Bombyx mori: one gene and its partner. The protein of the gene in region 1 binds, or shares a complex with, the protein of each later gene. Links are inferred from orthologs where the notes say so. Each region holds a gene or a part of one and is shown on either strand. Other genes may lie near its edges.

Evidence for each region.
Region 2: beta-parvin (region 1) and LIM and senescent cell antigen-like-containing domain protein 1 share a complex: the UniProt entries of both Caenorhabditis elegans proteins name them as parts of the integrin containing attachment complex. The link is inferred for Bombyx mori from reciprocal best matches to the Caenorhabditis elegans genes pat-6 and unc-97.

Annotation. Positions count from the first base shown.
Region 1 is NC_085107.1:9,478,408-9,489,948, reverse strand, and holds beta-parvin, read right to left. Parts: upstream 6,664-11,541; 5' UTR 6,531-6,663; exon of another isoform or gene 6,308-6,530; 5' UTR 6,288-6,307; coding exon 6,173-6,287; intron 5,027-6,172; coding exon 4,937-5,026; intron 3,700-4,936; coding exon 3,428-3,699; intron 3,025-3,427; coding exon 2,834-3,024; intron 2,755-2,833; coding exon 2,640-2,754; intron 2,552-2,639; coding exon 2,308-2,551; intron 2,226-2,307; coding exon 2,149-2,225; 3' UTR 1,993-2,148; downstream 1-1,992. Other genes in the region: LITAF domain-containing protein, read left to right, coding at 8,093-8,234, 11,232-11,385. UniProt on the Caenorhabditis elegans protein: Involved in the regulation of cell adhesion and cytoskeleton organization. Component of an integrin containing attachment complex, which is required for muscle development and maintenance.
Region 2 is NC_085112.1:7,030,043-7,040,211, reverse strand, and holds the end of LIM and senescent cell antigen-like-containing domain protein 1, read left to right. Parts: intron 1-649; coding exon 650-763; intron 764-1,769; coding exon 1,770-1,882; intron 1,883-2,407; coding exon 2,408-2,600; intron 2,601-2,963; coding exon 2,964-3,105; intron 3,106-3,876; coding exon 3,877-3,993; intron 3,994-5,349; coding exon 5,350-5,491; intron 5,492-6,318; coding exon 6,319-6,509; 3' UTR 6,510-7,871; downstream 7,872-10,169. UniProt on the Caenorhabditis elegans protein: Component of an integrin containing attachment complex, which is required for muscle development and maintenance. Probably function in adherens junction.

The sequences.
Region 1 (11,541 bases):
AAAATTTACGTTACGTGATATAGTCAATTAGGCAACTACTATGGTCCAAACATAATGAGATTTAGGTGTGTTAAAACGTTCAAATATCTTTATTATCATTAACGAAATAATGAACAATTGGGACACTGCGATCTTACTATTTCTCATGTTCGAACGCGTTAAAATATTAAGCCTCAGATTTGAACTGAGTGGTCTTGAAAGTAAAAACGTTGATATTTTAATAGTACCTATATATTCAATTGTTGGTTTACATAGCAAATATAAACGGAGTTTGCGCAGGTTCATAGTCGTTCGAGCGAGTGTTCGTGGTTTTTTTTATGAGAGGCAAAGGTCCTGATGGCGGAGCTTCTCCTCACTCCGCGGCACCATGTCCGCGAGGTCGCTACTAGTGATGAGATGCAGGAACAAACGAGATCGGTTTTAAAATCCTACTACATCCAAATCAGCTACTAAAAATGACTGAATCTCGTGTATTGTGTTTAATCTATGCGACAAATAACTATGACTACGACTGTACGCGATAGCCCTCGTACATATATATGTAAATACGTACGAATTACAACCGGGCTTGCACTTGCTTCGACGTATTAGAGCCTGTGCACACCACGTTTTGTAAACGCGCCGTCGATGCGCGATCGTAGCGATACCGACGCGATACGCACGCAAGTCAGACGCAACCTGTAGACCTTTTCACACCTGTATAAATTCAAATACGCGTTTGAATCGATACAGACGCGATACTCATGCGCGTTTGTATCGATACAAACGCGCGTTAGCATCACGTTTGTATCGACACAAACGACAAGAAACCATTCTGTGGGATAAAAAAGCGCCGTCGACGCGCGTTTGTAGCGATACAGACGCGATGCTAACGCGCGTTTGTATCGATACACATGCGCGTTATCATCGCGTTTGTATCGATACAGACGACAGCAAACCGCTCTGTAGGATAAAAGTGCGCCGTCGACGCGCGCGCGCTTAAAAAACGTGGTGTGCACAGGCCCTTAGCTTTTCTCACGTTTGTCAAACGTAAACCCCTAGATTTCGTTGGAAAATGCCCTTTTAATATGGTTTAAAGTTCTTTAAAATATTTAGCAAAGAGTTTGTTTGCTAGTTAACTCCACTACATTAAATATTTTTTATAAACTTAAAAATAAAATTATGCCAGTATAATAATACTATTTTGGACCGTTAGATTTCTTTAAGTGAATAAACATTGTTTTATATAAAATTTAATAATAGGTATATTGTATGATGTCGGTTGATTTTGAATGTTATTTTTTATTTTGTATTAATTTTATGTCGGATCCATGCGCAATGTAAATTAAGAATCAGTTTCTAAGATCTCTTAATCACTACTGTAAGCAGCACATCATTTTATAGTTTTTTTTAAATCTAAATACCGATATGATTGTGTAGTCAAGATGTGATAAAATGCTTTAGACTACCTGGTGTATTGTTTGAACTCTGACCAGTAAACAATATATTTTTAGGACTTGACTGCGATTTTATGTATTTTCATATTGTGTACGGTAATAAAATAGTATTCATACAGAAAGTAGTGTTTTACTCATTTCCGGTATTTTTTTATAACCTTATCCTATTTAGTGCCTATAAAATTAGGTTTGTACTGTCTTAAAAACTTGCTGTCTTTCTCTCTAAATAACAAAATGTATAATCCAATCACTACAGGTTTTTTGGAGCCTTGGCTTCAGTGACATCACGTGGTGTCGCTATAGTGCGGGAGTCGAACCATTGTACAACCCCGTTTCTCGTCCAGTCAAACGATACCCAATATAGAACTCTAAAAGATTAACTGGACCGAGTTGAGTTTTAAATACTCTGCAACTTTAATGATGTATCATTCACTAAGACTGAACGTCTTTAGCAGGCAGAAATATTTGATTGCTTAGTCGCTATTTAGTCGATCAAAATTTTAGAGCTTTTAAAGTGACTATCGATAATAGTCAATCAAACCGACAAGTAAAACAATTTTTTGTTAGTCATATTATTTATTTTAAGGCACTATTATAAAAAATAATTAAAATATATTATGTATAGCACTCGTATTAAATTAATACATTAAATGGTTATCACTCTTGTTAATTTTTTGATCATTCGATGGATCAAATGATGGTTAATAAATAATTAAGCCATATTTTTATATTTTGTGAACAGATTGTAAAGCACTCGAAGGGTTGACTTGAGGTCGAGATTCACGATATCTGAAATAAAAATTAACAAATCATATTTGAAATTCATAGTATACCTTAATTTACATATTTTTATTAAGACGATTGGCCTTACCTTCAGGCCTGGCTTTGGGCTTTCCCAGACCAACATCTTGCATAAGCTCAAATGCAAATGATACATTATGAACTTTCTGATCAAAATCTTGAGGTGTTAAATGAAAGTCGTAAAGAGGTACAAAGAATTCTTCAAGTAAGCCCATTAAAAGACATAAGTATACTCCGTCATGGAACTGGGTGTCCAAATCCATTACCTCTAAGTTCACTTTGCTCAAATGTTTATTCACAAATGTAATAAGTGACTGAAAAAAGACAAAAAAGAACACAAATTAAATAAATAGAAACGTCATGTTAATGGGAGATTAATTAATTAAATAAATAAATCAATACCTTCTTAACAACTAAGAGCTTGTCCGGTGCATGGTCGAACAACGCATCAAACGCATCACGTTCACATTTCATGCCGAGATCGTCATAAGTAGTCGTTATGGTTTCGATTAAAGTCCTAAAAAACACTTTTATTAGTTATAAAGATTACAATTTATAAAAATAAAATTATTTAAAAACAATGTAACAAGGTTTACCGGTGAGATAGTTGGGTCGGTGTGTTTTTCTTGACGATAACAACGTTCACAGAAACATTTTCGGGGAGACGTATGGGAGCTCGGAAATGACGGGCCAGAGCAACGAGCAAATGAAGAATCGAAACAATACTTTTTGAATGTATCGAATCCACACTCCATTTTGGTACTGGTTTTGATGTACCGTACAAGACCTAAAACCAATACAACTACATTATTATAATTCACAAACAATTACTATAGTTATTATTATAATTTAGTGCAACCTTAACTAAATTTTTTTTGCTATAGACATAGTTTAGGCAGTCTAATTCTTAGTATTTGAATGGTTCTTTTGAAACGAGAAGAATATAGTACAGATCTTGGAGGCCCATAAGTGAACTTACTACTTGTTCTCTTTCCAACTATCCCAAATAAAGCAAGAGTGCTTTATACCGCAATAGCTCTTGCTCGTTTCGTATTGAGATGTCGCTCTGGGCCTGCGCTGTTTGAAACTAGGTTCCGACTATTCTATCCGTACCCCTTACCTAGACGAGTGACTGCAAGACCTGCTCCAGATATTGATTATAAAAGAGAATAGTTAATAATAATGCTTACTCGATTAACAGCCCGTAAAACTATAGTCAATTTCTGGCGCTGTCCTTCTTCTGATTGAGTTACTTCAGGTACATCAAGTTTCGTCTTTGTTAATTGTTCTAAAAGTTTTTGAAGCACTTGACCGTCATAAAGATCTTCGATGATGTCCTGGACGATTATTCTCTGTGAAGCTAGTTCATCGTTGATCCAGTCAATCAAGACTTGAATCAGATCTCTGACCCTTGGATCTTCAAGTGATCGAGGTTCGATAATAGCCCTTTCTTCGTTCTCATCTAAATCGAAAGTTTAAAGTTAAAAAGTGAAATGCATGGTTTGTACACGAGAATTAGCTTTCATTTCGTGTTCGATAGTTCAAGACGTCACGCGTGCCATAAACATATTAGAATTTTCTTTTTTATATGATACTTGATAAAGACCCATTCTAACTACTCTAAACGCGTGTATGGATTTTTATACACATTACATAAGTCAATTACCTAACTCGTAATAATATGTTGTAATAGAATATCTTAAGTATCCATTGAAGACCATCAAAAGAGGTAACTTAAGAAATAAACACAAAAACTTCGAAAGAACGCAGTAGAACATGCGAAGATGTTGAAATTGAAAGAGAAAGGGAGAGATTACAGAAATTGCAAGGTAAATGAAAGAAAGCCGTAGGCTATCACAATTAACTTTCTGGGTCCCACTCTCGGTTCTTTTAGGCTCCCCAAGCACTGGTCACTGTTCTCGTCGAATAAGACGAAGAGTTCGACGTGCAAACTAACCCATAGTCACAAACTGACTTTTTGCCAGATCTTCTCAGTTGGTCGAGATTCTGATCCGGTGGTAGATTAAGCGAAGCGCTGCTCTTGCAAGGGCCAGTGTTAATTAACCCTCTCAGGTTGAGCCCGTGCGCTCACCTACCAGTTTGTGAGTAGCTGGAATAGCCCCTTAGGCTACCAGCGATCAGGTAGAGAGAAACATATTGTTGAATACATGGAAGATAATAAAAATCTATATAGTAGAATAAATAAAAATTTGCAAGGCAAGAAAAGTTGCAAGAATGTAATACATATTTATTCATGGAAAAGCTGAAGGAAAAATGGAGATATTGATGCGTATTGTAATAAAGGTTACTGCTTTTAAGTAAAAATGAATATAGAGAAGACACTTTGCTTAAAATAAACAAAATTAATCCCTTCGTTGACTGGACATATTCAAGAAACAAAAATACAATGAAAATTATTCATATGTATAATCAAAAGAAAAAATAGCAAGCTAAGTATTCCCTGCTGGGGATATGGACCATCCCATTTAGCTGTAATGGCAGCAAGTACCAACCTGTTATAAGTTTTAGTTTTCTACTATCCTAATTTCACAAGGTTGTGTAATAAATGATAAATGATCCCATACTATAATACAAATATAACCCTCAAGAGTGGGATAAGATTTAATGATTATAATAACAAAAATATATTTCAGAACATAAGTGCATTTTCATAACTTCTAAATTTTTATTTTACTTACTCAAAGTATATTCTTCAGGGGGAATCTCTGGTGCAGTTGGACTGCCTGGAGAATCAATAGCATATTTCCCTTCAGCTTGTACATCTTGAACTGAAACATTACATCTTCATTATTGGTATTGCCACAAAACATTCTTAATATATTATATTAATATATTTTATGTAAATGGAAAAAGCTAATACCTTAATATAAATTGTCTTGTCTAAACTTTATTTAATATGATGGCTATTTTAACATAAAAACAGGAAGACATCATTGATTCACAGCAGAAAAGGCAAAATAACAATACAAACTGCTCACAACAGACCAGTACTCAAGATTGCAATTTAAAGCTACAAAGAAAAATATTAAAAGGAAGTTATATAGTATATTCTACTGCAGTATTCTGAGGGCAGGCTATGTTAACCACTGATTATCTACTTGGATCTAAGTTTGCCGATCCATTTAATTATATTTTTAATGATTACAATTATGTTTTTCTTTATCAGAAAACTGAACAAACATACAGTCCACATCATGGTGAATGGTTACCGGCGTTCATAGATGTCAATGACAGGGGCACAGCCAAGTCTACTACTACTACCTACTACTAGATATTATTATACCTAACAAATTCAAAATTTCTAAAATATTATATCTAAAAAACAAAAAACATTAAACTACTGATCACCTAGTTAATCATTATTGTATTAATGCAGCAGCATATGTTATAATGACTGAAGGCAAAATATAGTAATTATTAATCTGAGTATATTTTGCATCGGTGGTTTACTCAAGATAAAATATAAAAAGAAGCTGTCTTCAAAATACACATATGCAATCTAAATTGAGAATCTCTAAAATCCAGTTAAAAATAATTGCCATTCCAGTGTGACCTCTTAGGCCAGTTTTGAAAGGTTTCAAATAAAAAATATTTCAATTTTGCAAGAGGTGGTTAAAGCAGTAGCAATTTACAGAATTTCCTTAAATAATTTTCCTGGTGCTGTAAAACAAACATCACACAAAAACTAAAACTGAATAGAATAAAATTGTTATATTTTATAATTATATTCGTTTTATTTTTTATTCTATTATTGGCTACTTTCTATTAATGGAAATAGTTTATTTCAAACTTCTGTGTATACATAAAATTTTCTAAAGCTGTCCTTCGGTTCCCATGTTAATCATGAATTTGACATTTTAAATAAACCCACACATCAAATATGAATTTGATTAGAATTTGTAATTATACTTTACCTTCTTTAATCCCTTTTTTGCGCCCTATTGTACCAATTTTGTCCCAAAAGGACTCTTTTTCCTCTTTTTTGGGAAGCACAGGAGTACGAGGTGATTTTGGGCGTGGTGAAGACATTTCGAAATGAAAATACCTACCTGTAAATGTACATAAACTGAATTTAAACCAGAAGTTACTTGTACTTGTTAGTATAGAAGATATCTATTGTGGATCAGTATGACCTATGACTAACGTGATGCAATGTATATTAATAAAAAAACATTTATGTACATATGTACCTTAATTAAAGTACGTACTACATAAATACCTACACCAGTAAGTAGGTACGGTACCTACCGTATGTATTTGTGATTTACCTACCTGTTTTCAGTATTTTTGACGTTTACAATGTTTTTTGTCTATAGCAGTCACAGACAGATCAATCCAGACTGATTGAAAATATTAAGCAACACTAGCTCGAATGTTGTCAAATCTTTAAAAATAATACACTGGTATAATTTCTCGTGCTTTGGAGATCAAATTTATTTCCCAAACACGAATAAAATAAAATCCAAAATTTTAGTGTGAGTTGACTAAGCAAATAATTCCTTTTTTTTGTATTATTCCACCTTTAAATTATACCTATGCATGACTTTAATATATAAATGAATAGAATATGCATTAAAACGTGATGTTAGTGTCACATACATACAGCACATTAATGTGTGATGCTGTCTTTCACCCAAATCACCTATTGCTCATCAACTAGCATCTGAACCTTTAATGAGATAGAACTCAAACTAGGTAGATAGAAGTAAAACCTTTAGACTGAAATTAAACGCATGCACCTCCACGTCGTAGGTACAACAACTACTATAACCCTACGTCAGTGAGCTGTGCGGTTTCCGCCTAAAAAGCTCTAATTAATTAAATCCCATGGTATAACGTATTTTAGAAACAGCGGAAAATATAGCGTTTCATCACCTAGTTGCTGTTGAGCATTTAGATCGCATCTTATACAGCTCTCTTCCCATGTTCCTAAACAGGCTTATAGAAGAAACTTAACACATTTAAAAAGCTAGGAGACGAAGATACTTGCCCTCTCCTCATTTCAAAATCAAAGCTAAGCAATCAACACACGATTAGTTTTTTGGTAATTTTCCTAATACTCGTGCAAGTACTAAACTCTTGTCAATCTCTTTCAAGTGTTAAAAGATCCTTCTACCTAGCACTATATTGTCTACGTACTGAATATCTCTAAATTGCTTGTAATAGTTAAAAATGAACTATGCCGAGTGTATTAGGTAGTTTTCCAATTACAGCACAAGAGCGCATTATGCGGCATAATGCTCAACTAAGCTTCAGCAGAATTCGGCATTGTGCGTCACGGATTACAGAGCATAATGCGACTCAGTGACGCACAATGGCGAATTATGCTGAAACTTAGTTGAGCATTATGCCGCATAATGCGCTCTTGTGCTGTAATTGGAAAACTACTTTAATATATTATCTATATCATAAACGAGAAAACCCTGTCGCAAAGCCCAAACGTACCTAACTAACTATTAGACTAATCTGTGCCCCAAACTCCAAACATAAAATCACTTAAAAAAGTGAACTTTAGTGAAGCAAAACAAGTCTGGTTCGTATTTGGCTATTTATTACACTCAAATACTAAGTTATGCATTGCGTCTATAGTGTAAATTAACAACTCAAACCTTAAAATATTTATTAAAAATTAGATCCTTCAGTTCGAAGTATTGTTTTTAACAAATTTTACGAACTGTTGAACTATCAATTTAATAGGCTGAGGCTGGGTGGGTAGTGTGTATTGTGTAGTCATACCTAAAAATAACTTCAAGATTGAATTACGTCACTGGTCTCACTCTTTAAGTACTTTCTAATGTGATTATTTTAAACAGTATTTGTTTACAGCTTGAACAATGGAAAAAAATGGCAATCCTCCTCCATATGTATGGGGCCAGGCAAATGTTTTACAGCCTCCGCCTGCTGCTCCACCTAGCTACTCGCAAGCAGTGGGGGGTGTAGGGCCTTCCAGCCCTTACACACCTCAGTACCCAACAAGTAAGTAAAATAAATAATATATTGTTTTTATAGGTATACTGGTACAATCTAGCTAATTCAATGTCATAAGTTGAAAATTTTGTTCCATTTGCAGTGAATGAAACTTTAAATAGCTGCAGAGTAGATAGCTGTCAAATTAATAGTAATGCTTAAATATGTGAACACACTGGGTTTCAGATATTTATTTTAAAATTTAGGTCAAGTTTTTATTTTGAGTCAGTGACATTGAACAGGTTGATCTTATTATAATTTGCATGTGTGTATCACATATTTTAAGGTTGAAATTGTTTTCAAATGTTAGTGTTCCTCAAATAAGTACACTACATTAGGTATGTAAGATATATAATTTAATACATTAATTTTTACTATTTCAATTAATGTATTCAAATCAAATCAAATCAAAAAAATTTTATTCAACATAAATGAAAGTACATACTTGTTGAACGTCAAAAGAACTACCGCTACTATTGAAAATCTTTTACCTTTAATTTTTTGTAAAAGCTTGTATTTTGTAAGAGCTTTTACTGTCAAACTTAATAGAACATAAATGTCAATTCACAAAGCTAGTCTCGTCATATAATAGTGAGCGCCCATTGTGTGAGAATTTGAATTACACCATACATTGGCAAAATATTTATAGTTTTAATGTTTCTACATAATTCACTGTTTAAATCCTAAAGATCTCAAAATCAGAAGTAAAACATCACTCAATTAAATTGTATAGGGGTAATGATTAATTCAAAACTACATTTAATGTCTGTCATGAATAATATCAACAGGTGAAAGGCTATTTGCTTTAAGCGACATTTTGTTTTATTTGGTATTAGCATTAATAATTCAATGTTTTCATTTAAATTTTAATTCATTTTATCCCATTCTACTAGATGAAGATGCTCTTTTGGTTATTATATTTTTTCGAAATTCTAAACTTTAAATGGTTCTCCTGTAATGTTTGCAAAAATATTGCTTAAACCAAACTAGACGATGACCGAGCTTCGCTCGTCTTTTTTTTTTATAAAAATTGTGTTTTTTAGTACGAATTACATATTGATAAAATGATGAAATATTCCAAGATCGGTTAGGTATTTTTAAGTGAACACGTGAGTTAAAAAGTCACAAATAATATACTTAGTCTGGCCATAAATACTGTTACAATTAAAAATTAAAAAAAATCTAGTGCAAATAACATTTATTACTTTTACAATGTGTTAGTTTAATACATAAATATAAAACAATTTAAAGTATAAAAAGCTTATTCGAAGTGGTCTCCATTGGCTGCAATACAGTCCTTTAAACGTTGAGGCCAGTTATCAATAGAAGCACGCACTCTTTCCATGGGAAAATTTTTCACTGCCAATCGTACGAACTGTTTTAGGGACTCCAAATTATCATGGTGTTTAGAGCAAGCCGTACTCTCTAAAACTGACCATAAATCATAATCCAGTGGATTAAGATCGGGACTAGACGACGGCCAGTCTTCAGCTCTGATGAAGTCCGAAACGTTCGTTTCCAACCAAGACTGCATAGACCAAGCTTTATGACCTGGCGCCGAGTCTTGCTGGAAGGACCATTCTTGATTATTGAACATAGTGTTGTTAAGGGGCTTCACTACCTTCTCAAGAATGGTATCTTGATACACTTGTGCCGATGTTTTGGTAACTTTTTTACAAAAGTATGGCTCAGTCACTCCTTCATAGCTAATACCCCACCAAACCATCATTGAAGTCGGATAGTGCCCACGTTGCACTCTGTTGACTAATTGGGAAGCTTCCTTAGAGCTTTGAGCATGAATATGGTCATTTTGTTTGTTAAAATGTTGCTCAATTGTAAAAAATACGCTGAAATAGCCCCTAAGGCTATCAGCTTAGGTAGGAAAAAAAAAAGAAAAGTAAAAAATTTCTCATCCGGAAACAAAATTTTTCTATGACCTCCCTTTGCGTACCGCTTCAGTAGTTATTTCGATTTTACCACCCTAATCTCTTTTAAATTATCAGTAAAGAAATGACCAGTACGTCTCTTATAGGCTGCAAGTCCTAAGTCATCTTTTAAAATACGCGACATGGTTCTAGGTGCTATCTTCATCTCCCGAGATAAAATCTTTTGTTTTCGGACAGGATTTCTTCGAATTCTTTCCCTTACTGCTTTGACCACTACGCACTACTTTTTCGCACGAACACTACGTGGACGGCCAGATCTTTTTCTGTCATAAACAGAGGAGGTTTCATTGCACCTATTAATAGCCCGGTACACAAACATTTTACTAATACCAAGCGTATGGAGAGTTTTAAAAATTGCATTTGGCTCCATACCTAATTTGTGTAATGCAATCACAGCGATTCGGTTCTCTTTATCACCCCACTCGAGTTTAATATCGCAAAGTATTGTACAATGTATTGGCGCCAAAATGAGAACACTCAATGAGCAATCATATAAAAATGACAGATTCCAAATTCAAATGTAATATTTTGTTTATTTTTAATTGTATCAGTATTTATGGCCAGACTAGGTAAATAAACAATTTATTTTCTTGGTCTGACCTTAAACCAAACGCTCATTGGCTTCAGGTGGCTTAACAACGCCATCTGCTGAAATAGCTTTAGTGTTATTGTGTCTTTAAAGCTTTAAAGTTGCTCTCAATTATAAAAAATAGTATTATTATTCGCCAATAGATGTCGGGAAGAGTCATAAAGTTGATTATCGATAAACGAATAAAACAACATTTTCTGAAAATAAATCGTAGCTACATCGATTTATCGCCCCCGAAATCCCCTGTATACCAAATTTTATAAAAATCGTTGGAGCCGTTTCCGAGATTCAAATTATATATATATAGATCCACACTTCATCCATATATATATACAAGATTTGCTCGTTTAAAGGTATAAGATAGCCTTTCACCCCTCAATATATAATACGATGTCTGTCATTATTTCACATTTGTAGCTCAACTGTTTTTTTTCATACATTAAAAAGTTTTCAAAATAAATTATTTTTCAGCAACAGGGCCACAAATTGTTACAACCGTAGTACCGGTTGGGCCGCATCCAACTCATATGATTTGTCCTAGTTGCCATGCCGAAATTAACACATCAACACAAACAAAACCTGGTCTCATTGCATACATAACTGGTGCAATTATATTCCTTTTAGGGTAAGTATTCTTTTATTATGTGTATTGTACCTTTACAATGATGGTTACAGTGTCTTTTGGAAGAAAAATAGATTTTATTGAAGATTGATTTAGATGGAATTCTTTGTGAATTATATTATTTATTTGTCAGAAATTGAAGCCACCAAATGGGATTGT
Region 2 (10,169 bases), on another chromosome or scaffold:
TTCTACTTGCAGCATCTTAACCATTTTTGAACATTTTAAGTTAGATATATCCATTAAGAAAAACCTAAAAGCAATCAAATAGTTCATAACATCATTGGCGCATAAATAAAACTAACAAATACAAACAAATTAATAATATGCATTAAAAGTATTTTTATTACTAATTTAATGTCATCCTTAAATTTAGTTTTCCTCATTACTTGATTAAATACTGGTAGTTTTCCTGTAACTAGTACAATACATTTTACCTCAAAAATTTTTTTACCAAATATTTATATTCATTTAAATAAAATCATAGGAATCCCTATACACTTATTCATTTCAGCTATTTCAACTTAAAGAAATTTTTTTAGTTGTAACTTAGAATTGAAAGTAAATTGTTTAACTTGTGTGGGTTCTATGTTGTGACTATATTAAATTGCCAGTGAGCTTCAGAAGGCAAATTACTTGTAGTATCATTTTGAAATTTTAAAGATTCTTTATCTGTTTTATTGTTTGTATTGAAAGATTTAGACATGTCATATAATGTACTTATTATTTAATTTACAAATGACTAGATAACGTTAACATTAACTAATCAATCAATAGTTAAATAAATTTCAATTAAAACCTACTTCATATGACTTAAAAAGTTAATTATTTATTTCAGCTTAGCTACGATGTCTCTTGATAATATGTATTGTACTCGCTGTGGGGATGGATTTGAGCCAAATGAGAAAATTGTGAACTCCAATGGAGAATTATGGCATACAAATTGTTTTGTGTAAGTAAAACTGATTTTCCTTAATATAAGCTTAAACATAATAAGAACATAAAGCTGCTTAAAATTAGTTGATGTGGTCAGAAAGAAATTTTTTCTCCTACCTACGCTGAAAGTTCGGTTTTCATCCCGCTATACAGGGAAGAAAGTGTAACTTTTCCTCCCTGGATACAAGTACGCATGTGCGTTAATGTCTGCGTCTGCTCTCACCCACCTAAAATTCTCTGCCATTGTTGAGTTCATCAGGCAGTTCTTATTCAACTAGTAGTTTATTTAAAAATTAAAAAACAGTTAAATTGTTTTTTATGAGTAAGGGGGGGCTCCGCCCTTGGACCCCACCGGGGTCGGTCTGGTAGGAGAAAAAATACTATGTGCACCAAGGGAGAAAAGTTGGACATTTCCTCCCGCGTGTAAAATTGCCACGCGTGCAAGTCGCAAAAATGCTGGAGGAATGTACTATTACATGTATGCATTTGTTTCAATTAAAGTTGCTGTAATTAGTACTGGATAGTGAGTGAGATTATACCATAGATTAATGGAAACCAATGTATTTTCTATGTTGCTGGTATCTGTTTGCCTTTCAGATCTGACTTTTTAGTAATCTAGAAAGGTTTTTGTATAACTGATAATAAACATATTAATACAAAAAAAACAAGTTTGTGTATCAATACTGAAAAAAATATTTTCAATCGAAATCTATAAATTTACCTAAAAATTAATCTAATTCTTTTGGATTCAAGTAGTTATCAGATGGCTTATCTGATTACCAAATTAGTTGATGCTCAAGTCTGTTAATTTTCTGCATTAAACAGAAAGAGATTATATTCTAGATGTGGTGACTAGTCAGGCACTAGAGCCATTTATTTTTCCTACCTAAGCTTGAGAGGCTATGTCAGCGTAATGGGGCTCAAACCTGACGTTGTTGCTAACACAATCCTTAGCAAGAGCTTATTTTGTCATTTAGACTCATGAGATCAACCCTTTTTGTTATGTAAACATGTTTTTGTAGTTGTGCCCAGTGCTTTCGCATGTTTCCTGATGGTGTCTTCTATGAATTTGAGGGACGAAAGTATTGTGAACAGGATTTCCAAGTTTTATTTGCACCATGCTGTGCAAAGTGTGGTAAGTAAGTGGGGTAGAACCTTAAATAATAATTTCAATCTTAATCTATACAAATAAATAAAATAGGAGTGTCTGTTTGTAATAATAAAATAACCACTTTTTACTAAATGCGTAAGTATGTAAACACAGTACATATATCAAAATAATATTTTATAAAATTTTTGTCTGTCTGTCTGTCTGTTTGTTCCGGCTAATCTCTGGAACAGCTGGACTGATTTTGTCGGGACTTTCACTGATAGGTAGCTGATGATATAAGGAGTAACTTAGGCTACTTTTTTAGACTAGCTTCACTCCGCGACGTCACCCGCGGTACAACAATAACCGCGGGTAACATCGCGATACTCAACTAGTATCAAATACAATAAGATCTTCAATGCATAAAATACAATAAGAATTGTCTTGTTGCATATATTTCACAGTAAATAAAATCATTACCAATAAACACGATCATAACCAGTCTATATAATATACTACAAAAGATGCCATACATATGTGACCATAAAATATTTTTTATTTTTTAAACAGGAGAGTTTGTGATTGGCCGCGTTATAAAGGCGATGAACTCTAATTGGCATCCGGCCTGCTTCCGATGTGAAGAGTGTAATGTAGAGCTTGCAGATGCCGGTTTTATCAAGCATGCTGGTCGAGCATTGTGCCATGTATGTAACGCGCGTATCAAAGCGGATGGGCTGCAGAACTACATGTGTCATAAGTGCCAGTATGTTTTCTTAATTATGTACAATTTGTGTTGTTATAATTTTAGAATTTTCTAAATCTGTCATCTTTAATTATCACTATTGGTAATGCTTCATAGATTATACTACATATATTTTACACACAGAAACAAGTTCTCTATTACATAGTAGCAAGTACCATAAAAAAGTAGTGGAAACAGCATAAGAATTTGGTGTTAAACGTATGTAAGATGTTTTCACAATGAAAGCATATTATCATTATATCATCATAACTGATCATATTATTATAATCAGTTATGCGTACCTGTTTGAATTATGTATCAGTTATATCACAATACAATTGAGACATAGATCAAATACTATACATAATTATCGTCAACTTGCAGTGGAGTAATTGACGGAGAACCTTTACGTTATCGGGGAGAAGTTTACCATGGCTATCACTTTACCTGTGCTACCTGTGGAGTTGAGCTGGATCATACAGCCAGAGAAGTGAAAAATCGTCCTGGATATGCTGCAAATGATGTTGTAAGTATATTGAAATAGTCACATAAAATTAATATTAAATAAAAATTAATTTTAAAGGACAATTTGCACATTCAGACAGTACATTCATCCAATGAAATCGTTGTGTGTACAAAAAATATGTATCAATGTCATGGGTTTATCTGTTAGATAATCAAGATGAAAAAATGTAAACTCTAAATGCGTAAAAGAGAAAAAGCTTAATAAAGCTAACATATTTGGAATTAAATTGTTAAGGTCAACAAACAAGCTAGCCAAATATAAGATAGAAAGTCAATATAAAACGTATTGTAGACATAACCTTAGAAACCATTGTATCATTATGACAAATATATTACCAAAATTTATGATAAAAAATCACCTTGGTGATGCAAATTAAATTCTTCCTATTCGTACACTCTTGACAGAGTTGTCATGGTCATGCATCAGTCGAATCCTGGGATACCGATGCTCACGCGATGCGACGCCATGTGGCACGGTGTTTCGCAGAGTGAGAGCAATCATGTTGGTGTGAGTCGCAGATTTTATGAGGTCGGTCCATCGTGTTGGAGATCGTCCGCGAGATCTTTTGCCCTCGACTTTCCCTTGCACCACCAACCGCTCAATGGAGTCTTCGTTACGAGTGATGTGCCCGAAGAACTAATGCAAATTAAATTATCAACTAGTTTTTAATTCCTTAAATGTAAATGAGAAGTTGACTGTCAATCATTTAAGTATTTTATTTATTTAATCTGAGCTAATCGAAGTTTGTTTAATTAAAAAAAAATATTCCAGAATAACCTCTTTTGTCTTCGTTGCCATGATAAAATGGGTATTCCAATCTGCGGTGCTTGCCGACGTCCCATCGAGGAGAGAATCGTTACTGCTCTCGGGAAACATTGGCATGTTGAGGTATGCTCCAATTAATTTAAACATACAATTTGTGATACAATAAGATTGTCCTGAAGCGGTAGGTATCATAGAATACAATAAATACCATAAAAATCAGAACCTTTTTAGTCTGTCGATGCTGGTCACGTTTATAGAGCGAAGTCCTAAAATGATTGTATTATCATTGGTCTTTGATGCATGTTCAAGTTAATGGGACGTCTTGAATTCTGTCAAAATTAAGTTGAAAAATTCCGTTTCATACAAACATACATATTATTATGTATGTATAAACCAATATAAAAATCCACTATATGCTTCTGATTTTTCATTCAAATTGCGCATTCTATTTTCTACCACCTCGTGGCGATTCCCACTTAAGAGGATATGCAAGTGACTTCAGAATCTAATCTTTGGTTATGGCCGAAGCCACTTTTGTTGTATGAAAAGTGAAATGGAAAAAATAGCAAAACATCAATTGACTTGCTATCACGATACTTACAAATCTCTTATACACGACAATTCCTAAAATCCATAAGTTTCACTATTTGCGAAATTCATTAAAAGAGAGTGCTTCAGCATGATAAACAAATGTGTCATTGCAGCAGTTGACGACGTCCTATCCGTTACAAGTATTTATCGAAAATCACACACCATAATAGTAATCTCGGCGTCCAACTTCAGACACGAGGTTAAAGCCTCAATTGTATTGCATTAATAAAATTAACGATTTTAGATGCGACGAATCAGTTATTGCCATTGCCTAGTTCCAAGTAAATACGTACCTAACATGCTCACTTGAGCGACTTCCACGATGAAATAAAAATATAGTGTTTAACAAAAACCGAGAATCTTATAAATATGCATAATTATCGGCGGCAGTATTGGGAGCCCACACACGGATAAGTGTTACCGGTCTGCCTATCTATGCGGCGAAACCATCCAGCGTTTCGATTGGAAGGGTATGGTAGTAATTATAGAATTGAAACTTCGACGTTGCAAGGGGGTAGCGCAATTCACATTGCGATATCTATGGATTAGGTTTTCACTAGAGGTCGGAGTAGGTAGATTGATTTAAGATCGTTGACGTCAAATGTAGAGGATAATATGGATATGCCTCCAAAATACCGGAACTTCATATTTATTGCGATATTTGTTCCGGAATTTTGAAATTATCATGAATCTGTGTTTAAGGTGAAAAACATATTAAAAATATTAATCCATTATTCCATATTAGTGTATATTATAATATTTTGACGCAAGTATATAAAAAATCAATCTACCTACTTCGACCACTGGTTATCATCACCCGTTTGCTACCTGTTCCGTTTGAGTCGAAAGCAATAAAAATAATAATTTAAAGAAAATTTAATTTTTCAGCATTTCGTTTGTGCCAAATGCGAGAAACCATTTCACGGCCATCGTCATTATGAAAAGAAAGGCTTGGCCTACTGCGAACAACATTATCACCAGTTGTTCGGCAATTTGTGCTACGTCTGTAATCAAGTTATCGCCGGCGACGGTAACTATTCGATTATTTCATTTAAAATTTAATGATTTCGGCATGTGATATGATGAGGTTTCATAATTGTCTGTATTGTATTGGTTTATCGTTTAAGTACACTGTTCTGCGTAATAAGTAAGTTGTGTTAATAAATATAATTTTTAATAAAGAAAACAATCGAAAATGGCCAAGTGGAGTACACGCAATAGTTAAATTTAATAAAAATCTTTGTTTTTTAACTAAGTTTAATAATGCTTTAATATCGTGCGGGCTAATACTGGAAAAAGCCTACTGAGTTTCTCGTCGGATCTTCTCAGTGGGTCGCGATTCCGATCCGGTGGTAGATTTTGCGAAGCAACGTCGTCAGGTTAGAGCACCTATTCGCACAGTTAAGTTGACATAACCTCACGAGATTACCAGCATAAGTGGTAAAAGAACGGGAAAGATTTCTACACATAGCTGTTGCACAAAATAAGTTCTGAACACAATATTTGTGTTATTGGTTAATAATCATAAACGTTTTTATAATATCACAATTCACTTAAAAACTAATTATATTCAGTGTGATTTGAAATTATATCTTGCTTATTTAGCTGATTTTTTTATATTATCGAATGAATATATTCTTAACTTCTTAAAAATTTGTGTGCTAGTATGTATTATAATTATGAAGGTTTTAATGTGAATATAATATAGGTTATATATCACAAGTAACATGTTACACATAATATGTAACTTATTGTGTTGTACTGCTGATTGCTACTTCAATAACACAAACTGGTCGAATCAAAAATATCTATTTAATTTACCATTTTTTTTCTTAATAACTGTAATTTTATTCGTAGTATTCACCGCATTGAACAAGGCTTGGTGCGTACATCATTTTGCGTGTTCCGTTTGCGATGCGCCGCTGAGCACGCGTAGCAAGTTCTACGAATACGACGAGAGGCCCGCCTGTAGACGCTGCTACGAGAAGTTCCCGGCTGAACTACGACGTCGGCTACGTCGGGCTCATCACTACACGGTCCGCCGTTAACGAAAAATACAAGGAATAAACGACATTAATCTGTCTATACCAGTGGTGGGCAAACATTTTTAATGGCGGCCACAATGTTTAGGAAATACTAGAGGAGGGCCAGAATTATAGAAAAATGTTTTTTTTTCTCCAATAAATGAGATAATGAAAGCTCCAATTCGTCAGGGGTGTTTTGAGGGGAGTTTTGAAAAATTCGAAGATTTTCAATTATAAACGTCAGATTTTATTTTACGCGCCAAACTGCCGACTAGAATATTTGGGACGGACGGACTCTCGGCGGGCCGGATTAAAATACTTCCGCGGGTCGTACTTTGCCCATCACTGGTCTATACTATACTAAACCACTATACCACAGTAATGTCGGTGTTCACATTTTTTTAACATAATTAACTAACAAATTTAAAAATATAATAAATGTAGTATGCACTTGCCATTTGTGCCTTGAAGTACCTACTATGTAACAACTAAACTTATTAATGTAATATATTAAGTGTAAAATGTAATAATTAATTATTTTATACCATACAAAATATAATGATTATGAATGTTGTCTTTACTCGCACTGATCATTGACGCGTTCGCTATTTTGTTCAAGTGCAATGGATTTATTTATTGATTTGACTCCTTTAAAAATATTATTTTGAAGTCGCTCTTATCTATTTACGACCAGATGAGCTATAAGTCAATTTAACTCTATTGGCAATAAAAATGTATCTGTTGAATGTGCTTGTAAACTATGTTTTGAATTAAGTCAAAATATCAGTTTGGTCACGTGAACCTGAATTTAAAAGCACAAAATATAAACGTAGAACTATTTCTAAGTTAACTATTTATATTAATGAACTCAAAAGGCTTGGCTTCATAAGCCAAAACGGAAACAAATCTGTAGATATTGTACACTATATGAAGATTATTAATATAAATTTTCGATGATTTTTATAAACCAATTGAACTGAATATTACAGCAAATGTGTGGTCAAAATGACGAATTTGGATCTAATTATTTTTTAATATTAATTATATAAGATTATCTTAGCCAGGGACAATGACAGTGACAATCAGACCGATATAAATGATATTTGAAAAACCCTCTGAAATGATAAATATATTTCAAAAAATTATATTCATTCCATTTTGAAGAATGCTACTTTTGACTATAATATGCTACTGCATTGTATATTAATGTCACGTTTTTAGCATGCCTTACATTAGACGAAAATTATGATTTAAAAGAAAAAAGAAAACTTGTTTCGCACCCTTTGTAATATTGTTTTTAACCCTTTTAATGTATAATACAGATATTTTATAATTTAATTTAGATCTAAATATTTATGTAACACCAAATAAAGTTTTTTACTAACACGTTATTCTTTTGATTATTGTACAATGCACGGGATTAGGGTTTCGTCAAGTTACCAAATACAAAATCAAAATTTTGGGAAGTTTTGATTTTAAGATTCTAATTTGTAATTTATTTTGTTATAGACAGCGTGTTTAGTGCGACTTTTTTAACGTTCTCGCATGTAATTAGTATGGAGTTGGAACGTTTGTCCCTAGCGGCAAATTTATGTTACCTTTTACGCTATCGAGAACGTTAAAACACTCGCATTAAGCACATAGATAGGCTATATTGTCATTTTATAAGTGGTCGTTGTTGCTCATGAACATCAGCAAACAAAAGGGTAATAATAAAAATAAAATCATTTATTGTCTTTCACATTAAATAGAATAAAATACAAGAAAAATAAAAATTAAAAAAAAGACAAAAGGAGGTGGCTCAGCTAAGGCTGTTCAAGGTCGATAAATCGAACAGCGCTGATTATCCACAATACGAGGTTCTTTATTTTAAGCTATTGCATAGCTTTTTTTAATGTTTAATATGGCGTGGTCTTGTTTTAATATTAAATTATAATTGCATAAGTTGATAAAAAATGCATACCGCGGCAGTTCCCCAGTGCCACACGTTTGTTTTTTTTTTATTGCTTAGATTGGTGGACGAGCTCATAGCCCACCTAGTGTTAAGTGGTTACTAGAGCACATAGACATCTAAAACGTAAATGTGCCACCCACCTTGAGATATAAATTCTAAGGTCTCAGTATAGTTACAACGGCTACTCCACCCTTCAAACCGAAACGCATTACTGTTTCACGGCAGAAATAGACGAGGTGGTGGTACCTACCCGTGCAAACTCACAATAGGTCCTACCACTAGTAATTACGCAAATTATAATTTTGCGGGTTTATTTTTTATCACACGATGTTATTTTCCTTCACTGTGAAGTAAATCGTGAACATTCGTTAAGTACATATTTCATTAGAAAAATTGGTATCCGCCTGCGGTATTCGAACACCGTTGCATCGCTAGATACGAATGCACCGGACGTCTTACCCTTTAGGCGACGATGACTAAAATATCTTCTATATGGAGACAAATGAAAAAAAGTCCAGTAGATTCTTTCGATAAACTTCCATCATTCTCGGTGACTACCTCTCGCATTCAATGAATATGAGTTGACAAATACCTATAAGTTCTTTTTCCGATCCGGGGGACTCGACAGGACATGTTTAGTGCGACGGCGGCTTTGCAATCTCCTTCGCCTGGGTCGGATAATATGAGTTGAGGTGTTTAAATTGTTTCGTGCCTGACCCCGGTAATCATGGAGAACCATTTAGATGTTTTATCAATCGAATTGAGTCCAAGGTCTGTTACTTAGTTTTGTTTAAAATTATGCTCTTATCTCTTTATCATTTATTCGCGATTTCCGTAATACAAGAACACCGCAGTCCGGGTTACTTTAAAACTGTAGCTTAAAAAAAGAATTTTCTTGTGTCACACTGGTCCACAAACTACCATCAGTCCCGCCAGCGAATGCACGGACGTATTTATTATAACAGATATACCGACTGTTATCCGGATCATAATTTACCATGGTAAAAGTATTCTCCCTGTACATTCAAGTTATAAACTACTAGCGATCCGCCCTCGCTTCGTTTCGGAAACTGTAATTTATTATTGATTTCTCCACTATTTAATGGATGTTATTATACATATAAACCTTCCTCTTCAATCACTCTATCTATTAAAAAAAAAAGGAACAAAATCCGTTGCGTAGTTTTAAAGATTTAAGCCTTTGATTATATACACGATTTAAGCATACATAGGGACAGAGAAAGCGACTTTGTTGTCTACTATGTAGTGATGCTTATTCGAAATTTCAACTAAACTTTTTCATTCATTTTTGTGATTCAGAAACAAACTAACACACTTCCAAAATTACAATATTAGGATAGAATTGTATTTTAAATTATACAATTATATAATTACATTATATTATATAACACTAAACACCAATCTGGCAATGCAACACATGTATGTAATTTGTAATTATTTGTTGCGTAAGGATGATCTATGATTATTTCATCGTTAATTTTGATGCCTAATGACACTGGTATTCTATATACCGATAAAGTTACTTGGTAAATCATGAATAGTAGGTATGTAGCTTATGTTTTATTAATTTTTTTCACTCCATTTGCAAATAGAATAATATAATGTTCTCCGGAAATAGTATTTTTCGGGATGTAACAGGGTTAAGCTGCTACAGGCAATAAGCCTTAGCAGCTTGTAATAAGGCTTAAATAAATAGAAATTTGTATTCT